Linked DNA regions of Schizosaccharomyces pombe. The gene in region 1 interacts genetically with each later gene. Each region holds a gene or a part of one and is shown in the gene's direction. Other genes may lie near its edges.

Region 1 (8,084 bases):
ATGTTGTAAATCTTGAAACCATATAAATGTGTGGATGATTTTTTTTATTGGATATGGTATACGAACAAGTTTTCACGATTCTAAAGTTGGTACGATGACTGCATCTTTTTACCTTCATATGTATTTTCATTTCATTTTTTTATTATGATGATTGGTACTCGGAGCATATTTTACTGTCACCTGCTTCTGCATTCTTTTCTTCTTCGTTTGTAAATATTTAATGACTAAGTGTTTGGGCGAAAACTCTAGTTCCTTTTTTTTTTTTTAGTTTCTTTTGATTCAGAGCAACGAACCCTCAGTCGTTGCATTTTTCTGTTCCTAATTTGCACGTTTAGAACATTGTACAATATAATAATATTAATTTATAGCAGTTAAATGATTTATGTTTGTCATATAGAAGTTTCGGTTCGTAAGATTATAAGAACTAACTATTTAAGATGTCAGCTATTTCCGTATGCGACATGTACTAGATTAAATAACTTTTTGGATACGCAAATGAAGCTAGTACATTTTGAGTATTAAGTATCATAAATATAAACATCGATTCAAATATGCTACGTGCAGATTTCAGCGAATTGTCGCATCAAATTAAACTATTCATCGACGATCCACTCAGATCTTGTATATATCAAACGGCCTACGTTAATATAGCTTGTCTACTTATAGCGACTCTGAAAGTGCGCCGTTAGATTATTGTGGTATAGAACCGGGAGGTTAGGTACCATTCCTCTCTCTCCATGAACCTACTTTTTTAAGCGAAACGCAAACAAAAGTAAACAATTACCAATGAACATTTCACGTTCATCAGGTCTGATGAGACAGTTCCTGCTTCAGCCCTTACGGAAAGGCTGCGACATTTCTTGCCTTGGAAGGTCAAGTTGGAGAATGAGCAGGAGCTTCTCTGGATCGAGTGTTTTAAATGAAATTAATTTGTCACGGACTAAGAATTTATTTTTGAATGATTGTAAGTTTAATAAAAATTCATTTGAAAAGTTTTTTGCTCGCCGGCTGAGTAACTCAGTCGCTCCTACACCAGGTGGCATCCTACAGGAAACCGAAAAAATTCCGAGTAAAAAGGTCGCCTTTTGGCTGCTTGGATCTTCTGCTCTTGTTCTTGCAATTGTTGTTGTAGGTGGCATTACTAGACTAACTGAATCCGGGTTAAGTATTACTGAATGGAAGCCCATCACTGGCGTAATTCCTCCTCTTACTGATGAACAATGGAACCAAGAATTTGAGCTTTACAAAAAATCACCAGAGTTTGAGAAGCTGAACAGCCATATGACAGTGGATGAGTTTAAAAACATATTTTTCTGGGAGTGGTTTCATCGTGTCCTCGGTAGAGGAATCGGCTTGACAATCCTTCTTCCTTCCATATACATGATTGTGACTAAAAGGGCATCTCCTTGGCTAAGCAAGCGACTAATCGGCCTTACGGGACTCGTTGGACTTCAAGGAGTCATCGGTTGGTGGATGGTCAAGAGTGGTCTTTCAGAAGAGCTCTTCAGTGATGGTTCTCATCCGCGTGTTAGTCATTATCGCTTGGCTACTCATTTAGCCGCTGCCGTTGCTCTCTATATTGGCTTGGTGTGGACTGGGCATGGAATCCTTCAACGACATGCCTTTTTGAAATCTATGAAGAGTGGCTCCACATCTCAATTGACTTCAATGGTTTCTTCAGTTCAGAAAATGAAAGGATTTCGTACTAGTGTTAACTCATTTGTTGGCTTGGTACTGATCACCCTTTTGTCCGGTGCCTTTGTTGCTGGATTGGATGCCGGAATGATTTATTGTACTTTCCCGGAAATGGGCGAAGGAAGACTTGCTCCATCTAAAAGCGAGTTATTTGATCAAAGGTTTTGTAGGAAAGACGACAAGTCCGATCTTATATGGAGAAACATGATTGACAACCCAAGTCTTGTTCAACTCGAACACCGTATCTTAGCTATTACTACTTTTGTTGCTGCATGTGGTCTTTTTATTTTTTCCCGTGCTAAAAGAAACATTTTGCCTAAGAAGATTAAAACTAGCATTAACGTTGTTACAGGCGTTGTAACTGCTCAAGCTACTTTGGGTATTATGACTCTAATCTATGTTGTCCCTGTACCTTTGGCAGCCCTTCATCAAGCCGGTAGTCTTGTTACATTAACCGCGGCCTTATCACTTGCTCAGCGCTTGCATCCAGAATACGCTTTAAAAAACATCCGCTCATGGACAAAATTAATCTCTTCTCCTCCCAAAAGTAGCATTTCATCTTCCATTTTGACTCAACAACGCCAATTCCATACATTCCGCCCATCATTCCATTCCGAAATTAAAAAGCCTTTGCCGGGCACTGGAATCAAAGTTTTTTTCGTCACGCCTGAAGGACGTGAAATCATGATTGAGGGAAATGAAGGTGATAGTATTTTAGATCTCGCTCATGCTAACAATATCGATTTAGAAGGCGCTTGTGAAGGGTCTGTTGCATGTTCGACTTGCCATGTTATCGTAGATCCAGAGCATTACGAACTTTTGGATCCCCCGGAAGAAGATGAAGAAGACATGCTTGATTTAGCATTTGGTCTTGAGGAAACAAGCAGATTGGGATGCCAAGTACTCTTAAGAAAAGATTTGGATGGCATCCGTGTACGAATTCCTGCTCAGACTAGAAACATACGATTGGAGAGACCAAAAGCTTGATTTTGTCAACATGCTTACAATTTGACAAGTGTCTCGTACTAGTATTCCATAAAAGTATTTTCTTCCGAAAGTATACTATCTCATCCGTATTCTCAACTTTCATTTTTTTTTTTTGGATCAAGTTCATGCCTAGCTAATAAATGCACATAACTAATTAAATAGTCAACCTGGCACATGGTTTTACATTTTAACTATATTCCTTCTTTATCCAGACTACAGTTGTTTTAATTATAAATTAACCCTTTGTTTTCAAATCTTACACTTAATCATGAAAACTTGTAATATTACTAAGACCAGGATGAAGATGGTTTCTAAATTTCATACTTTTAATGTTTTCATCGTCGTTTATATTTTTTTTACTATTAAATGCTTAAAGTTATTTCATGATTAACAAGTAGATGCTCTATTTTTCTGTATTGATGAAATGTAATATATAACATGGTATTATAGTAGACACACGGTTTAGCAATTGCTCACTTTTGCCATGTATTTCTTAATTGGAAAAGTTTAAATACTGACAGCTTTACACTTTATATGTGTTTTAGTCGAATGGCTGTTTTATTGTACATAGCCACCACTATGGTACAGTGGACACCATAATCTGTTAAGCCACCTAGTGCATACACCGTCCCAGCACCATGCATCCTGCTTTGCTATGTGGGCCAATTCTTGCAATATTTTTACAGTTTTTGGTTTCTTCTTGCTCTCCATTAGAAAACGATGATTTATTTCTAGTTCAAGTGGAACCTGAAGTTGATCCTGTAGTAGCAGCAGAAGCCATTGGTGCTAAGTATGTGCGCCCTTTATTAAATTTGAAGTATCACCATTTAATTAAGCTACATAAGGGGAGCGATGATTCAGTCCAAAGTTCAATTCGAAAACGAGGCATTGATGCCGGAATCTTGGAATTGGAGCGCCAGACGCCCAGATGGCGCTACAAGCGGGATGCGAGTGAATCTGATGAATTACTGAATGAGTTCTCTAATCATTTTGGAATTTCGGATCCTCTCTTTTATGGCCAATGGCACATATTCAACTCGAATAATCCTGGACACGATCTGAATCTACGTGAAGTCTGGGACGCCGGTTACTTCGGTGAGAATGTTACCGTTGCATTTGTAGACGATGGAATTGATTTTAAACATCCAGATTTGCAAGCTGCTTACACTTCGCTTGGTTCTTGGGACTTCAATGATAACATTGCTGACCCTTTGCCAAAGTTATCAGATGATCAGCACGGCACCCGTTGTGCTGGAGAAGTGGCTGCAGCTTGGAACGACGTTTGTGGCGTAGGCATAGCTCCACGCGCCAAGGTCGCTGGACTTCGTATTCTTTCGGCCCCTATTACTGATGCTGTTGAATCGGAAGCACTGAATTATGGCTTTCAAACAAATCATATATATTCATGTTCCTGGGGCCCTGCAGATGATGGAAGAGCAATGGATGCTCCTAATACGGCTACTCGTCGTGCGTTGATGAACGGTGTCCTTAATGGCCGAAATGGTCTTGGGTCGATTTTTGTGTTCGCTTCTGGAAATGGAGGCCATTATCATGATAATTGCAATTTTGATGGCTACACGAATAGCATATTCAGTGCTACCATTGGTGCTGTTGATGCTGAACATAAAATCCCATTTTACAGTGAGGTGTGTGCTGCGCAATTAGTTTCAGCATATAGTAGTGGCTCACATTTGTCTATATTAACTACAAATCCTGAAGGCACATGTACTAGAAGTCATGGTGGTACCTCAGCGGCTGCTCCGTTAGCATCTGCTGTATATGCTTTGGCGCTTTCGATTCGTCCTGACCTTAGTTGGAGAGACATTCAGCATATTACAGTGTATTCAGCATCTCCTTTTGATAGCCCTTCTCAAAATGCAGAATGGCAAAAGACTCCAGCAGGATTCCAGTTCTCCCATCATTTTGGGTTTGGTAAATTGGATGCATCGAAGTTCGTCGAGGTGGCTAAGGATTGGCAGGTCGTGAATCCACAAACCTGGCTCATTGCTCCAGAAATTAATGTTAATAAATCATTCGGGAGTGTTAACAATGAGACAATAACTGAAATGGTAAGCGAATTTACCGTTACTAAGGATATGATTGAGAAAAGCAACTTCAAAAGATTAGAACATGTCACTGTTAGGGTGTGTATACCTTTTAACCGAAGAGGAGCATTGGAGATTCTCTTGGAAAGCCCTTCCGGCATTCGTTCAATCCTTGCCAGTGAACGACCGTATGATGAGAATAGTAAGGGGTTTTTAGACTGGACGTTCATGACTGTGCAGCATTGGGCCGAACCTCCAGAGGGGGTTTGGAAGTTACTGGTTAATGATCGAAGTGGTGGAAAGCATGAAGGTACGTTTGAAAATTGGCAGTTGGCTTTGTGGGGAGAATCTGAAAACCCTTCTAATACTGCACCACTCCCTTATGACACTCTTGAGCTTCCAAAGGAGATGGTCTTGGGAATATACTCTGAACCAAATAGCGATCTGACTAACTCAAGTACCTTGTTGAGCCCTACGTCTACTTCATTTACTTCTTACACCGTATCTGCCACAGCTACACCTACATCAACGTCTCATATACCGATTCCTACAGTCCTACCCCCTACCCAACCTGTATTGGAACCCTCTTATAGAGAAATTGTTGCATTTATTACTTTCTTTTTGTTGTTTGCCTTTATTTTCGTTGCTGTCATATGGACATGGATTTCCGCATTTTGGAAAGCTAAAGCACCCCCACCATTGTCTCAGCAAGAAATTGCTTGAAAAGTTAACACTCGTTTTTTCACTTCTGTTTAAAATAATATGGACTACTTTTTAAAGTATGATCTCTTCTTAGATGTCACTTGTCATTCGTTTCATTCATCGATATGAAACAACCTAATTGGCATTTCTTAATTTTGCATTTTAATAAATACGCATGGACTACGTATTTAATTCGACCCCTTTGAAGTGTAATCATTAGATAGCGTGTATAAATACCAAGTAATAAAATGTATATTGGATTATGCTTTGGGTAGTTGAAGTGATTGTCTTTACGATTCACTGGTAACAGTATTCGGATTTAATAGTAAAGGCTTTGCAAAAAAAAAATAGTTGAAGTCCTAATATGTTTGCTAATGTATCGCAAAGCTTGTTAAAATCTTAACAGCATCGTTGCTTCTCGCTTTTCAGCAGCCTGCATACATGTCAAGCAATGTAATTACATCTGTAATGTTGATTTTAAACAATTATCAAAAGATAAAAATTTCAATACACAAATACGCATTCATAGCTGTTTAACAACTTTACGCCATATAGAAAAATCATCAAAGTTAGTCATACAAATGTAACGGAGTCATCTCGAAACAAACGAATGAAAAGTAAAATGTACAAGGATAATTCATCTTTCTTCAAATTCTTCCAAACAATCAGTAACCATAGCATCCATCCATTCAGTCACCAAATATCCCAACCCCAATAAAGCACTTTCATCCAAACACTCGAATGACTTTTTCCCTGTCGCAAGCATGTATTCTGTTGCAAAATCCTGGATGCTATGAACTAAATCCTAAACATAAAAAGATTAGTTAAACAAGTATTGGCAGAAGCTGTGAACTTACAGGATCCGGCAGTTCATGTGGAATTGGAACAGAAAAATCCTGTACTAAATCACGAGCTCTGTAAGACAATTCACCATCAGCATTCACCAAATTATACAAAGTTGGCCGAGTTGGTGGATTTGACATTAATAGATGGCGTTGGACGTAGAGTATGTACTATGCTAGGTGAAGCTTCTAATTCGTCCTTGCAGTAGTACAATCATATTTGGAAACACCAAGCTCAAGTAATGGAATCCCCACATTCTTAAAAGTTAACTGCGACTTACAGAAAATTTATCTCGAGGTTTACAGACATACTGAAAAAATAGTTCAGGCTTTACGACATAACAACAAAACAACTTTACACAGATACAATCCAAACCATATTATATTGACCCAATACTTAATTAAAGTGGGTTATTAATAAAACGTAAAGAACCTTTTCGCCATTTTTGAAAGGGGAATTTTTTTTCTGTCATATACAGATTTAATCTAATACTATTTATCGGTCCTGCCGCGTAAAAAGACAGAATGTTGATAAAAATGCAGAAGGAAATCGAATGGTCGATATAGACCATCCGTTGACCACAATCGTTCATTACCGCCTAGCATGAACAATAGAAATATGTTAAAAAATTTCGGAAACAGCGGAGCAGGGTTCGAGAGGGAAAGTAGTTGCTCTAAATATGAGCTTTTGATAGCTCATCAGCAAGTTCTTTGTCTTCTTTTTCTTCTTCAGAAGTCTCCGGCTCAGGGCTTTGAGACTCAGCTTCTTCTTCTTCATCCTCCTCCTCCTCGTCGGTAAGTTCCTCCATATCATCAAGCTCATCTAGTTCACCACGACCACGGGTGCTAAAGACTTCACGTATTTCATCAACAACATCGTCTTCTTCCGAAAATCTGTTTCCATTTAATTCAAGGAATAAAAGATCCGGCATTTTCTCATCAATCACAGTTTTTAGGGTCCGGACAGCATCCAGCTCTATCTCGTTATACTGTAAGCGTAACGTTTGAAGCCCAATATTTTCTAATTTAGAAAAAGCATCTACAACTGCGGCAGCACCGCGAGCAGATAAGAGACAATCGTTGAGGCCTAGTTCTCGAAGGTTGGGCCAGCTTTTCAACGCGATAGCGAGAGCGCTAGAGCCCAAGTGCGTAAATGTGTTATCTTGAAGATCGAGTACCTTTAGCTCTTGGCAATATGCTAATCCTTCAAGCAATAAGTGTTCAATACCTTCGGGACGGATACCATTTTGCACCATTTTCACTGTATGTAGCAAACGGTGGCTCTGGAAAGTTTTAGCCCATTCTTTCATACTCCCATTTTCTAAACGATTTCTTCCACAAATAATGGAACGCAAGGGAGGTGCATTTTTAGCTTTCTTGTTGACCGCCAGCTCTTGCAAGGCACGAGCAATTTTTGCGCCAGCTTGAGGACCGAGTCCATTATTGTGTAGGTAAAGATGCTCCAAAGGTGTGTGTTTTGAAAGAAAGTCAATCAAGGGCTCCTGTGCAGTAGGGCCAAAGGCATTATCGCTCAATCTTACAGTATGTAGTTTTGGGCACTTGAGTAAAGCTTGTAGCAACAGACGTAAAGCCTCAGGAATTTCATCTTTGACACGTCCAGTAAAGATATCACTAAACTCTGCAATTTCTAAATCTTTTTTTGAGGCAATATTCTCTGACAACCATCTAGCAGCTTCGGTTCCAATTGTGTTACCAGACAATACAATTTCCTTTACAGAATCATCTTCTAACAGAACAGCAAATACAGACTTCTCGTCTTCAGTTGTAATTGCATCTAATTTCAAAGACTTCC
Region 2 (7,884 bases), 2.5 Mb from region 1:
GGTGAATAATGTAACTATCGCTTTCCCAATATGAGAGATTATTTTTTGAAGTTATTATAGCCACGGTACCGACTGCGCCGGGTACAGCACTGTCAGGCGATGGCCGGGCATAGTTAGTTAAATAATCCATGTCCGCTTGTAAAAATGAATAATATAGCCTCGCCCTCCAAAGCAGATCTTCGTCCCTAGATTGAAGAACAGTGCGCAAAGAAAATGGAGGCTTTAGACCCGCCATGTATCCACCCACGGAATGGACTTCCTTCAGGATTTTCTCTGTATCATTTAAATCTTGATTTTCAATAATCTTCCCCAAGTTGGTGGAAAGAAACTCACTACACTCAGTACCTCCGTGACCGTCGAAAAGCCCGTAGAAAAAAGGACTATCTCTGTTAGTAGTATCTTTTAGGTTATTTAAGTAGCCGTAAGCCATACGGTCTTGATTTGTCGGCGAATCTCCTCTAGCGGTACATAATCCAAGACTCTGAGGTGCTTTGTTCATACTTATCTTCAGGTAGGGACCATTGGAGGGACTATAATACTGAATAAAGGATCGATAGAAATAGTTTTTTGAGCAATAGGCATTTTGAATATATAGAGGTGCCCGTAAACGTTTAAGAAAACGGATCGACATGTATTAATGGAGAAGGATTCTCAAACGTGAATCGCTTGAGATGGTAACTTCGCGGCGTGCAAAACAAACCGTGCAAGAAACCGGTAATTTCTAGTAAATTTTGCTAAAAAAAGATTAATGATCAAAGGATTAGAGGAAAGAAAGTTTTCTTTCCTACAGATATTGAAGCTTCCAGACGCTTTGCTTGAAAGCCGAGGTAAATTTCCAGTTTAAGGCTAACTCGAAATACCAAATAACAGGGGATTTTAAAAAGAGTTCAGCATACACCAACAAGGAGAAAGTCTTACACGATTCTATACAAGCGGTGTAAAGCATATAGTGTGTTAAAACGAACCCTGTAATACTATGCAAACAAATGCGTTAAAGCACGATAAAAGAAGTTAAGGAAGATATGTAATGAAAGGAAGGCTGTGAGCATTGTAGGGATAGTTCGTTTGATGAGCATGTCTTTATTTCATTTTCGTTAATATTTCAATTTTTTTTGGTTGGTTTGAGGGGGTGGATTCTACCAACCACTTTCATTTTTCCTATCCAAATATGTTTTTTACTTTTCTATCTTATTTTTTCACTATAGCACATTAGCACTCTAGATTATATTGCTTTGTTAGAGCAAAACAGATGGAGTATATAGCTTATCGACGACAATTCAATTCAATTCAATCCAACCATCAGAGAAATCTGACTATGTTACTCTTTAGTTTATTCCTAATAAGCGCTGCTTGAATAAAGTGATAAGTGCAACAGCTCCGATGATGGCAAGATATTTAGCGATTAGAGATTGTTTCGTTTCCAAAGTACCAAGTACTTATAACGAAATATATACAAAAGCTCCCAAATTCAAAATTGCTGGGTGTACGGCGCCACCAAAATACAGAACCGTCATTCATTTGTTCCAATATAACGCCATTGTTCTCTGTATTGTTTGCTAATTGTTTCAACTTGTTGAACTATTAGTGATGGTCTAGTCCAAACGACACCTGGAATGAGAGCGCATTGATGAAAGAGCTTCAACACAGCGCCCAATCTCTCTTACTGTGGGAATCTCAAACATTGTCAATGTTGTCACATGTTGTTTGTTCGTATACAAAGAAATGCAAATGCCATCCACGCATTCTGTTCATCATTAAAACTCTTTGATTAAATCCCTTGTACTGCATTAAATTTCATGGCTGCATAGAAGAAAAGTTACATAGGAAAGAGCCAGCGATTGCTACGAATACTCGCTCGATCTCACTCCACAGGCTGTTTCTTTAACAATTTATATAAGAATATACAAATAAGTAAAGTTTCATAGAAAAGAAGAAATGGATTTTATAGTGAAAATGGGGAATTTTAAAGTCCCTCATTGCTTCATCTAGCAACTCTTTCTTATATACAATAACCGAAATACGATGCATCGGTAATTAACTGTTTACGCACACACAATCTCTCAATCTTCTCTCCTCTAAAATAAATGTCTCCAACCAATTTGTTGATAAAGATAGAATGGCTGTTGTAATGTAGCAAACACTTATCAGGGGATGGATGGATGGATGGATGTTTTTCATCAAGCACTTGTTTACATGAGTGGGCGTTAGCTGAACACCGAGAGTCATGTTCATTCAATTGTGCTAGTGTTTTATAATTTATTTGTTTTCGTTTCAGTTTACTGTTTGTGTAGAATGAATACTAGTCATGAAAGGAAAGAATAAACCTTTCTGAAAATGAAATGACATTGAGTGCATATTGTTGAATATGGATATGCTGTTGCTTCCATACATTTGGAAATTTTGCAAACCTCTTTTTTTATGTATGTCCCGATCAATGTGTGTATCCGTGGATTACCAAGTTATCAGTGAATCGGCTTCCGTTCCTCCATATCTTTGAATTGCTCTTTTTTCTGCCCTAAGCAGCGCAATGCGCATGAAGCGTTATCATTCAATGTACCGAACAGAGTGGCAGTTGAGTGGCCCTTACCAATCCGGCCTTTCAAAGTTTATCTAAGAACCACTTGTTTGAGCTTATCGACCAATCACAGGCAATGGATCACCGTTCCTCCACTAACCACCTCGTATCGCTAGATTAGAGGGGTGACGTCAAGTGAACATATCGTGACTCGTTAAGTCAGCCAAGTAACGAATTGCGAAAGGGAGGGCGCGCTTGAGAAAGTGCTAATACAGCGATGCATGCAGAACAGTGGCATTTGACGAATAATCAAGGGAGAAAGCAGAGAAGTAAATGAACAGAATTTTTTTAAAAAAAATTATATTACAATTGAATTGAATGGATTTGGAATTGAGTTTTGCCTGCTTTTTTACGGAATCTCTGCTTCTATCTGTCCAAACTCCCTTTGTTGATGTTCGAGGGTTAGGGTACGGGTGGTGGATAGACTATATAAACGAAAGAGGTAGCCCCCATTGAGTCGTGTATCAGTACGCTCCTCGTTACAAAGTCAAACGTCTTAGAACAAGTTGCATTGGAATTGAATTTACCAGTGCCACTAGTTTTGATTTTGTTTCATTCACAGTCGTTTTTTTTCGCTTTGTGTTTTTCATTTGCTTGCAATTTTTTATTTTATTAAAGTAATTGTTAGAGAATTATTATAGTTTCTTTCTCCCTTTCTTTATAATAACTCTTAATCCCATTGTTCGCCCATATACTACTTACTATAGTTTGTATATAGCCCACAATTCTTTTTTTTTTTCTTTTATTCATCTCTCTCGATTTCTTCCTATCTGAACTTGGGATAGATAGTTAGTTTTTCAATAGTCTTTGTCATCTGTTTTCCTTGTCTTTCTTTCATAAGTAAACACGGAACAACGATACTTGCCTACTGTTCAGCAATCTCAGCAATTTAACCGCCTTCAATCACTACCCCAACCACAATCACAATCACTTCCCCCTCCAACAGCCTCGTCTTCTCAGCATCAACATGAGAATTCCTTATTCAAATCTTTTTTCTGCCGCCGCAGGTTTGGCCCTCTTCGCTTCTACTGCCTGTGCTGCACCAGTGATGCCAGCGACTGATTCGGACATTGCCCATGCTGGTATCCGTCCTGAGCTCGATAACGCTTTCTACGACTCCCACGGCGAAGCCGCTACCCCTAAGCACAAACCTCATGCTGGTCCTAATGCCGCTCCTCTCTTGTCTGCTTCCAACGCCGATACCACTGGACTGGACTCTCACTATATCATTGTTTTGCAGCCTGATTTGAGCGAACAAGAATTCCAAGCCCATACTAATTGGGTCTCGGAGATGCACCAAATGGACATTGCTTCTCAAGAAGATGAGTACTACGATACTAGTGATAGTAATTACATGTTTGGCTTGAAGCATGTTTATGACTTTGGCGAGGACTCTTTCAAAGGTTATTCTGGTCAATTCAGCTCTAACATTGTTGAGCAAATTCGCTTGCATCCTCATGTCATCGCCGTCGAGCGTGATCAAGTTGTCAGCATTAAGAAACTTGAAACTCAAAGTGGCGCTCCTTGGGGACTTGCTCGCATCTCTCACAAATCCGTCAAATACGATGATATTGGCAAATATGTTTACGATTCCAGCGCTGGTGACAACATCACCGCTTATGTTGTAGATACCGGTGTAAGCATTCATCATGTTGAGTTCGAAGGTCGCGCTTCTTGGGGTGCAACCATTCCCTCTGGTGATGTTGATGAGGATAACAATGGTCATGGTACGCATGTTGCTGGTACCATTGCTAGCCGTGCTTATGGTGTTGCAAAGAAGGCTGAAATCGTTGCTGTCAAGGTTCTCCGTTCCAGTGGATCTGGTACCATGGCTGATGTGATTGCCGGTGTTGAGTGGACTGTTCGTCATCACAAATCGTCCGGCAAGAAAACCTCTGTTGGCAACATGTCTCTTGGTGGCGGCAACAGCTTTGTTTTGGATATGGCTGTTGATTCTGCCGTTACCAACGGTGTTATTTATGCCGTTGCTGCTGGAAATGAGTATGATGACGCTTGCTATTCATCTCCTGCTGCTTCTAAGAAAGCCATCACCGTTGGCGCTTCCACTATAAACGACCAAATGGCCTACTTCTCTAACTATGGTAGCTGTGTTGACATCTTCGCTCCTGGACTTAACATTTTGTCTACATGGATCGGTTCAAATACTAGTACTAACACCATCTCTGGTACTTCTATGGCAACCCCTCATGTTGCAGGTTTGTCCGCTTACTACCTTGGCCTACACCCTGCTGCCAGCGCTAGCGAAGTTAAAGATGCTATCATTAAGATGGGTATTCACGATGTACTCTTGTCTATTCCTGTTGGTAGCAGCACTATTAACCTTCTCGCTTTCAATGGTGCTCAAGAATAGATTTTACTTCATGTTGGATGCATTCGATGTTTTCAATAAGTCGGTGTTTGATTTTCAATACATCGAGTAATTGTTTTATTTTTTTGAAAACGTTTGCTCCTTTTATGATTGTTCTTTACAAACAGTTTATAATGATTGTTATGACAATAAATATTTTATAATGCAAGCCACTGAATCACGTTTAGAATTTTTATACTTGAATGAAATTTTTTTGTGATGTTCTTCCAACTTACAATGTTAAAGTGTAATTGTAAATGTCCTCTTCTTTTATTTGTATTTGTATTTATATTTGTGCCGCTGTTATGCAAGAGCTCTTCTACATTTAATATCGCCGCCTATCTCTTCATAGTTTTCTTTTACAATGTGATTGCTGCATATAACCATTGTACAAATAATAGGGGTAAAATAAAAAGTAAACCGAACTAAAATGCCTTTTACTTGACCGACTTACTTTTTTTTTTGAACTAAAGTATCCTTGTGGTTACTTGTTACGTTGACGCAGAGCATAATAATAGTAATAATAAAATAATTTTAAATTCATGAACTAATAATTTACATCATCTTAAAAAATACATGTCGAGTCTTTGGGAAGCTTGGCTACCTTAGAACGCTAGGCGAACGATTGGACCTCATGGATAATCTACTTTCACTTCTCTTTACTCTTTGACCCTCCAGCAAAGATCTATATTTATCAAAATCGGTTTCCAAACTTTTGACGCGTTCACGCTCTTCTTGAAGAGCATGTTCCGTCCGACGTAGTGCAAATTTCCATTGTGTTTCTGAAGCTTGCACATCTTCTAATTGATTTCTCAGTTGCGCATTTCTTTCCTCCAAACGAGAAACTGAGCTCTGTATTCTCTTTTTATCATCATCAAATTTTGATATTTGAGCTTCCAGTTGACGGATAGTCCTATCGCGATTGCGACATTCATCAATTCCTTTAATTCGTTCGATGTCGGAAGCAGCAAACGATGCTTCCAAATCTGATATTTGCTTTTGTAGCATTCGGACGTCCTTTGATGTTGATATGGGATAAGTTTTAAGATCTAAATCAAACAATTTGAGCTCCAAATCCTTTTTCTCCTTTTGTAAAACTCCGAGTTGACGATGCAGTTGAAGATTTTCTTCTCGATGATTATTACTATCTTTTTGAGTTTTTAGCGCAAACATTTCGATCTGTTTTATGCGTTCAACTAATGATGATAGTAAGTCATCTTTTTGAGCAAGGTTACTCTTGAGTGTTAATACCTCTTTCTCCATTTCAATTTCATCAAAAGGTCTTGCAGAACTATCGAATTTTTTGTTCAATTGCTCTGAAACTTCGTGAAGTTTTCGCTCAAGGTTTCGATTTTCTCTTAAAAGGGTATCTTGATCTTTTCTTAATGTCTGGTTTGCTTCTCGTACTTCTTGGAGTTGTGCAGTCAAAGAAAGAAGTTGGCTTTGGGCATTTTGTTGCGCTGTTGAGGAAGAATTATTGACACGAGAAAGAGATTGTAAGTCTGCTTGAAGTATTGAATTTTCTTTTAACAAATTTGTCTTTTCCAAAACTAATTCGTCAAATTTGGTACGGATATCACCAATTTCCGCATGCATGTGCCGATTATCTTGTCTAATGCGCAAGTTCTTCTCACGTTCTTCTTCCAACTGTACTTTGAAACCATTTAGCTCCTTTTGATAACGTTGAAAGAGTAGTTGATCCTTCTTTTCTCGTTCCTCGAGATCTTGAACACGAATGACATGAAACTCATCAATTTGTTTCATCAGTTTTTCTTTTTGCAGCAGCAAAGTATTATAATCGTTGCTCTTTTCAACGTAAAGAACTTCATACTCCTTTTGTTTCACGACAGCATCTGCCAGTTCGTTTTGCAGATCAGCATTTGTTGTTTGAAATCCGCGAGCGAGTTCTTCAACTTCCTGTAAACGCCCGGTAAGATAATTTTTAGACCTTTCAGCTTTAGAAAGTGAAGATTCTGCATGCTCATTGAGTGACTGGACCATCGCAAGCTGTTCGCGGTACTTGTTAACTGTAGAAGTAAGCTCCTTTATCTTCATTATATTAACTTCTTCTTGCAACCACTCGGTTTCTTCTTCTCCAGAATAATTAGTTATACTACCATCAAAATTGGGAATTATTAATTGAGAAGCAGTGGGAGCCTTTAAAGGAGATGTAGGAACAGAAGGTCCTTGCAACCCATGAAGCAAACGATCTCTTTCCTTGGTTATCTCTCTTAAAGCTTTTTCCGTTGAAAACAGCTTTTCTTCGCTTGCCGAATATAACTTTGCAATAGCTCGCTTCGATGATATTGCCTTTTCCACAAAACCTTTGATTTGGTTTCTAGTATTATTTGGAACATCTTCAAGTAATGGAGCAAAATCAAGCATTTTATCATCACTGCCTAAATTACTAGTAGTTAAGTTTTTAAGTTCCTCATTTTCTTTTAACAAAGATTGTATAAGTTCCGAAAATTTTGATAGATCTTTGTTATCTAAGATTCCAGACTTTGTAGCTTCCTTTAACTTCAAATTGATTTTTTCAAACTCTGTTTGAAGCACGGAATTCCGTTGATTAACGATAAAGGGATCAGGAATACTACTATTTTGATCAAAATTTCTAATCAGTGCTTCCATTTTGCCAGATCTCTTTGAAGGTGAGCCGGGTTGAGAAGAGGGTAAATTGCTGATTTTGCTTGGAGACAAAGGTTTCAGCCCAGTAAATTCCATATTAGATTCAGGATTATAAAGCTTTTTCTGCAATGATGATATTAAACCACTTTGAGCATCAGAATTAGGATTGCTTAATAGCTTCCGAGAATTCATGATAGCTTGAGTATCTTTAAAAATGTCCGGGGAAGGTCTGTCAGAATTTGATGCATTGAGACGTTCCTTTAATTCTGATAAAGTACTCAACCCTTTTTCAAGCTTCCTAATAGAGTTTGGT
Region 3 (7,442 bases), on another chromosome or scaffold:
GGAGAACTATTGCTACTACTTGCAAAGGTGTTTTAGAGGATGTATTGAAAAAGGACAATGAGTTGAAGTTTAACGATTCTGATGAAGAAGATGAAGTCGATGATGAGGAGATTGAAAGTTTCAACTCATTTTCTCGTAAAATGCAAACAATCAGTAACTCTCGTTATCGTGGTTCCCCGAAACCAAACATTGAAAAGCAAAGTTGCTCCTCTGAATCCGATCGCGTTTCTCAAATCAGCGATGATGAGGAAGATGAAGAGGGATCCGCTGATGAGGAGGATGAGGAAGATTCAGATGTTGAGCTTTCCGAATCTTCCTTATCCGATGATGAGGATTCTCCTCTTCGTTGTCCTTCTACACCAGTCCAAACAGCTGCTGCTCCAAATGAAAGTCAAATTCCCGATGATACGGATTTCGTTCCTGGTACATTTGACGAAGATCAACCTGCATGTTTAGCTTTTGCTTGTTCCTTAACGCACGCGAACTCTAAGAGATCAATAATGTTGCCCCAGGATATAGATCCAACGTTTCCTGATTCGGAACCAGAAGATGATGGTCATGCAAGTTCTACAGTTGGCTCTCTTTCTAAAGAGGAGGCCCGTTTTAAAGCTAAAGCCAAATGGAATTACAAGTCTTCATTTTCCGCACATGTGTCTTCTGAAGTTTTGCGCAATAGCAAGTCACCACCTCTTGACATTGCTCGTAAAGCAGTCGGCGCACATCGTGTTTAAACCAAAGAAAAAATTGGATAATTATCCGTTCTTGTACATTAATAAATGGAATAGTAAAGTTTAGTCGCATTTAGTCATCTAAGGTTGTTGTTATGTGCGCATTTTCTTCATGAGTTTCATTATGCTTTGTAGCATTATCCATTCGTTACGTTATCATTTGTTTGTTATACTTGTTAAAAAATAACATATTATTCCAACCAGTTATCGAGTATTAACAGAAAATATGTATATTAATAAACTATTTTACACATAAAAAGTACACAGTGTTAAATAAAACTAAGATCCCAATTGTGATACGATCACCAGCGCGATAAGACAAATTCTGGATTCTCAAAATTGCTCTTAAGGCAATCTACAAACTTAATTGCACGGCTTTTGCTGATGTTGTCCTTGATGGACAATGTCAGGGTCAAATCCTCAGTAGTAGATGGCTCCTCGTGACGATTTATTCTGGAATCGATACTATCGCTGTTGCTACCCAGCAGCATATCATAAACATCATCCAAAAATTCAACGTTATTAGAAGAGCTTTTTGTCACAGAACTGAAGTTCAGCTTTACATAGTCGCTTAAATTGCTAGGTAAACTGTACGGTTAATATCAGAGCAATCGCAATGAAAAGTCTTACCCTATCATAGAATCACGAATGTATTTGTGTAAATCTTTAGTGTTATTGTTTTTTGGGAATAGCTTAGGTTGAAAATTTGAAACCGAAGACTTTAATTTTACGATTGGAGCGCCTAGAAGTAAATCGTAAGCAGATTCAATTGAGTTAGGTTCAACTTTCGACAATTCAGATATAGAAAGAGCATCACCAATCATTGCTGAGACGACTTCATCAATACCAAATGCATCTTTTTCTGAAAAAGATATTAGCAATAAAATATAATAAAAGGACATTACAATACCTTTTCTTTTAGCTAGCAAAGATTTTAACTTTTCTAGTGAAATAGATCTCTCAAAAGTGATATATTCATCTTTCATCGGAACAGTTTTTAAAGTTTCTATCATCGTTGATTTCCTAACGGGAACGCTGTCTTCAGTGTACGATGGTTTTTTAGGCTCAACGCCAGAAAAATCCAAAACCTCGAGATTACGAACAAATTTTTGAAGAGATGAAGGAACCCCTTTATCAATTTTTCCGACGTGTGCTAATACATCTCCTTTGAGAAGGCGACCATGAGGGCCTGTAGCAGGAATAGACCACGGGTTTTCGATTTTATATTGATGAATCAAATAGCTAACGGAAGGAAGAAACGATTTGTTAACAGCATCGTTCGCTTGAGAAGTCGATTTGTGTTCCACATTACTTTTTGTTTCGCGATCTTGAACAATAGGCTTTACCTCTTCCTTAGAAGAGGAGAAAGATTGCTCTTCTGAGGACGCTTCATCCTTAGGTAATTCCAAGTCTTTCAAATTATCTTCTGCATCAGCAACGATGGCAATATTTTTACCAACAGGGATATTCGATCCTTTTTCGATTAAGACTTTAGCAAGTATTCCATTATCTTGCACTTCAACATCCATTGTCGCTTTATCTAAAATACCGTTAGTTCAAAGTCATGGATGTTTAAGATTATTAGTCTATCATTTTTCATACATACCAGTCTCAACTTCCAAAAGTATATCACCACTTTTAAACGAATCACCTACGTAAAGAATTAGATTTAGGAAATCTCAATATACCAACCTTCTTTAAAATGCCATTTAGTAATGTTTCCTTCCTCCATAGTAGGAGAAAGTGCAGGCATACGAAACATGCTTGCAACTCCATTAAGAGCAGAACAATGGAAATCTACAAAAAATTATTCTGTTAACTTCGTTATTTCAATAAAAAAAAACACTAGTACTCACATCTTTGTTTAACGGAAAGCGAATGTTTGCATGAACTCGCTTTCACACATTGGTGAATGTAATGCTTCAACATCGTTTCCCCTGAAGTTTACAAAAATTTAGCAAACAAAAATATAAAGAGTTGACTTGATATTGAGCAAACTTTCGAAATATGATGTTGGGAAAAGATCAGGTGCTGTGCTAGCAGCGAAGGAGATCTATATCTGATCTGTTAGTGTTCCCAGCGCTCACCAAACATAAGGGCTAGCATAATGACCCCCTAAATTTGTGAATTGCTTTCAATTTCAACATTAATCGGTTTTTAAGTTACTACTAGATAAGTATTTTGGGAGGGTAAACGCTACCGATGATATATAGTTTTCGAGAGACTTGGCTTCCTCCTACTGCTCTTATTTCCTAAACTTTTTGTTAAATTCAACGTCTTAGCTCTCACGTAAAAGTGATGTTTTGATTTTTTATTTACTCTTTTTCGCTTGCAATCATAAAACGAACATCTTACATACGCAACAAACCTATAAAACTTTGAAATTTTTTAAGTTCGGATCTAACACCGAACTCATTATCAAGTTGATGACTTTAATTACAGGGTGTTAGACAATTTGTTATTTTTTTAAATATTATACACTTTCCTTTTCTGGCCAACAGACATATCTCAAATTTGAAGTGAAGTTATATAAATGCTTTGTCTGGTATATAATTCTATTTTGTGCAAGCAACGTCGAATTTCTTTAAAAGTTTTACAACAGTTTCGCTGTTGGAACATCTCTAAAACTTTTCTATCCTATCGAACACTTACAGCCTTAGCTATCGAGACGTCTTGTGATGATACATCGGTTTCTGTGTACGTATATTTCACATATCCTCACTAATTTATTATAGCGTTCGAACCTCAGATTCATCATCACATTGCCAAAACGAGATCATTTGCTTAAATACACACCGGACAATTTCAAAATACGAGGCTTATGGTGGTATCCATCCTACCATAGTTATTCATGAGCATCAAAAGAATTTAGCGAAAGTAATCCAAAGGACTATCTCAGATGCCGCGCGTAGTGGTATTACTGATTTTGACCTTATTGCTGTCACAAGAGGCCCAGGAATGATTGGTCCCCTTGCTGTGGGTTTAAATACAGCCAAAGGCCTCGCGGTTGGCCTTCAAAAACCTTTACTTGCGGTTCATCACATGGTAAGTAACGAATTCCTAAGTTGAGCTTGTAAGATTGTTAATGAAGAGTTTGTAGCAAGCACATGCCCTTGCAGTGCAACTAGAAAAGTCTATTGATTTCCCATATCTTAATATTCTTGTCTCAGGTGGACACACTATGCTAGTGTATTCCAATTCTCTGTTAAATCACGAGATTATTGTCACAACCAGTGATATTGCTGTAGGCGATTATCTGGACAAATGTGCAAAGTATTTGGGTATTCCTTGGGACAATGAAATGCCTGCTGCTGCTCTTGAACAGTTTGCTTCTCCTGAAATAAATAGTACTAGTTATTCATTAAAACCGCCAATCCCACTGAATACTAGAGAAAAGGTGCATAGCGCGAGCTTCTCTTTTTCAGGCTTGGAGTCGTACGCCTGTCGAATAATAAGGAAGACGCCTTTAAATCTAAGTGAAAAAAAGTTTTTTGCCTATCAACTTCAATATGCTGCTTTTCAACATATATGTCAAAAAACGTTGCTAGCGTTGAAACGACTGGATTTATCGAAAGTTAAGTACCTTGTATGCAGTGGTGGTGTCGCTAGAAACGAATTGTTGAAAAAGATGCTGAATGATACTTTAATGGTATTGCAGTTTGAACATCAACCTACAGACATCAAATTGGTGTACCCAAGTCCAGATATATGCAGTGATAATGCTGCCATGATAGGCTATACTGCTATTCAAATGTTCAAAGCAGGTTATACATCTTCATTTGATGTTGAGCCCATAAGAAAATGGCCCATCAATCAGATTTTAACCGTTGAAGGTTGGCTTACAAAAAAAAATAAAAAAGTATAAATATTAGAAATTAATAATAGTTTGTACTATGGAACAATGAATGCATAATGAATGTAAAAATTTTCTATGCCAACAAAAAATAGGGTGAATATGTTGTACGACATAAAGTAAGAGAAAGAAATTTCGGGTTCCTGTCATTAGCAGGAAAATTGTGATTAGTTAACAAAGACAGGTTTCGAAATTGAGTGTCACCATTGATAATCAAGCAAATGCTTATTAGCTAGCATTTAATTTCCCCAACAGACCATCGATTAATTTTTTGAGAAAGAATTCAAGAGTTGCGTGAAGTCCAGTGGTATCCACTATTGCTTGAAAATCTTCCATAGTGATCTGAAAACTACGTCGGTCCTGACAACCACTAAAACAGCTTTTTAAAAACTCGCTTATAACGGTTAGCCGCTCTTCGTCCTTTTCATCTCCTTCATAACAGCAAAGCAGAATTAACGATTCTGAAAGTTCGACAACTTCTTCCGTCCTAAGTGTGCCATCTCTTTTCAAATCGTACAACTGAAAACACAAGATTTCAGAATGCAGTGCTATATCTGCTTTCAACCGTTCCAAACCATGAATGATTCTTTTGAAAGTTAAAGATGTTTCAGTAGAATCACCGTCTTTCATCCAAATATATAATCTGGTAAAAAGTTTCCGCTTACTACGTTGATAATGCAAAGGTTCACGAATCACACTTAAAGGTGGGGCTGCACAATCGACAAGCCTTTCAAATCCATTGAAATCAATCTTTTGTTCTAAGACGTCGCCGTGACAAATATTATTTTCCCCAATGGCATTAATGAACGCATCATATACCAAATCTAAATCAGTGTTCGATAATAAGGTAGTTTGGTATACGCTTCGTAAGTGTGATCGCTTGGTAAAACATCGTAAAGAATAGAGCACACTACTCTTGAATTCTTTTCTTTTGGCAGACACAAAACTATCGGTAATAAAATCAAAGTACTCAAAAGCGACAGCAAATAACTGTGGAAGGGTACACATAGAAGATCTACTACCTAAAGCAGCCATCTTTTCATCGGCAGCTGTTCCTTGGTTGATATGATCAAAACATTGACGAAACACTTTCATAACAGAAGAATCGTCTGTCGCATTTAAAATCCCTTGGGCATTTACTTTGAACAGAGCTAAAGCCACTTGAAAAAGAACACGTGGACCGTTAACGAATAGACAGTCTAATATCCTGAAAGCATAATCTAACCTAAAGTCTTTTATGAACAACGAAAAGAACCAGTTGATTGTAATAAGCTTCAAATCCATATCTAGCTCAATAATTTTCTGATATAAGTGAGGAAGCGTATGTTCTAAAACATACTCAAATACCGTTAAATCCAGTAATAGCCCATGTATTATCTTAGCGTAATACCCAGGAATATAAAACTCACATAGTTGAGAAAAAAGAAAGTATGCTTGCTCTTCTGTGCAATAAACCAGCAAAGCAGCAAGCACAATGTTCATAGCCTGACAATAACCAACCTCTTTATTGGTCTCAGAATAAAACAGAAGGATTCTTCTCAATGTATTAATGCCCGTAGGTGATTGATAAGCAGGATAATCAGGAAGACTTCGTGTCAAGTCCTTTTCGATTTCCTCACTATATTCACAACGGTTGTTAATAACGCTATCAATGTTCTTTGCGTAAAATCCTTTAGATTTCCATCTTGGAAACAAGCTACCAGAGCATGTTTCCCAAATGTCTGCTCGTAAATTGTTTGGGATACCCGACTGAACAAGCTTTTGAAAATTTGGAGTTTGTATGAGATTAAAATTAGCACCGTTTTTTTTTAGATATTGAATCCAGCTTTTGGAGTTATTTTCATTGATTAAACCATTTGTATTGCTGCTTGCTATCGGATAACCAAACTGCGAACCAAGACCTAAGTCAATGCTCTCGATTTCTTGTGAATTGGCTGATTCAGAAAAACAGACTCTTTCGGATGCTAGTGATAACAAAAATAAACCAACGCTTGAAGCATCCTCAAGAGAAGCATGTAACTGGCGAACTAGTCGGTCACAAAAGAATTCTGATTGCTGTCTCGTTCCTTTAAACCTCAAGTGAATTATCTGACTGTGAAAGTTAGAGAGATCAAAAGTAAATGTATCATTGTCTGAATTTTCCCTTTCTAGCTTTCGAACGGCAGCTAAAGGGAAAGTGAAACGTGTTTTGAAATCATCGCTATGAAAACAGAGAAAAGAAGTACATATGTAAGCATTTCCAAAAGATTTAGAGTATTCCCAGCCTATTTCACAGACAGTACTAGCTATAATTTCTTCTTGTTTGTTGATACGAAAAAAACTGGCAGGATCTAGTGTCCCTTCATAAGCATCATAGTCATCTTCCAAAAATATATGCTTCAAAAGGTTCATTGAAAAATCATTCTGAACCTTTATAAAAGTAAAGGTTCCAGATCTATGGCTAAATGACACAGGTTTCTAATGATTGTAATTTTTTGTGTTGGAGATAGGTTTTTGGTAAGTGTACGAAGACAAGTGTAAAATGCTTACAGCAAGCGATAGGGATATCTTAGAACCATTTTATACAAGTTGCATCAAATAAACTATTGTGTTTTATAATAAAGTCTTGAGTCACCGATAAATGTCAATATCACTGAATTTGATTAAGAGGATTTCGGGTGGAAAAGTGACAGAAATTTAAAGTTAGTAATTACTGTAACGGTGATTTTATGACGCCTTTTTTTTAAAAAAAAGAAAAAGGCATTAAGCTATTTAATGGGTGTGAGGTTCGAGTACTCGATGTAATATTATTATTTAAAGCATTCGTGAATTTTGGAATGCCTTTAGTTATGTACGAAATGATTAACAACGTAAGCATCTAT

Evidence for each region.
Region 2: of krp1 (region 1) and isp6, extra expression of one rescues a mutant of the other (dosage rescue), as found in Schizosaccharomyces pombe (one study listed by BioGRID).
Region 3: of krp1 (region 1) and pgp1, extra expression of one rescues a mutant of the other (dosage rescue), as found in Schizosaccharomyces pombe (one study listed by BioGRID).

Annotation. Positions count from the first base shown.
Region 1 is NC_003424.3:5,031,806-5,039,889, reverse strand, and holds krp1 (kexin), read left to right. Parts: upstream 1-3,309; 5' UTR 3,310-3,320; coding exon 3,321-5,450; 3' UTR 5,451-5,703; downstream 5,704-8,084. Other genes in the region: etp1 (monooxygenase-ferredoxin fusion protein), read left to right, coding at 787-2,398, 2,444-2,682; RNA polymerase I upstream activation factor complex subunit Rrn10, read right to left, coding at 6,067-6,234, 6,287-6,412; RanGAP Rna1, read right to left, coding at 6,946-8,084. UniProt on the Schizosaccharomyces pombe protein: Membrane-bound, subtilisin-like serine protease that processes the P-factor precursor and other precursor proteins. Essential for cell viability. Cleaves substrate on the C-terminal side of dibasic residues.
Region 2 is NC_003424.3:2,541,808-2,549,691, forward strand, and holds isp6 (vacuolar serine protease Isp6), read left to right. Parts: upstream 1-3,034; 5' UTR 3,035-3,542; coding exon 3,543-4,946; 3' UTR 4,947-5,174; downstream 5,175-7,884. Other genes in the region: mitochondrial serine/threonine protein phosphatase PP2C catalytic subunit Ptc4, read right to left, coding at 1-631; Myo3-like myosin II heavy chain myp2, read right to left, coding at 5,544-7,884.
Region 3 is NC_003421.2:1,049,057-1,056,498, forward strand, and holds pgp1 (metallopeptidase Pgp1), read left to right. Parts: upstream 1-2,813; 5' UTR 2,814-3,261; coding exon 3,262-3,425; exon of another isoform or gene 3,426-3,463; coding exon 3,464-3,773; exon of another isoform or gene 3,774-3,828; coding exon 3,829-4,593; 3' UTR 4,594-4,707; downstream 4,708-7,442. Other genes in the region: SPOM_SPCC1259.08 (uncharacterized protein), read left to right, coding at 1-731; pyruvate dehydrogenase Pdx1, read right to left, coding at 1,031-1,316, 1,359-1,590, 1,639-2,268, 2,335-2,379, 2,421-2,525, 2,585-2,657; GTPase-activating protein Gyp2, read right to left, coding at 4,810-6,972. UniProt on the Schizosaccharomyces pombe protein: Required for the formation of a threonylcarbamoyl group on adenosine at position 37 (t(6)A37) in mitochondrial tRNAs that read codons beginning with adenine.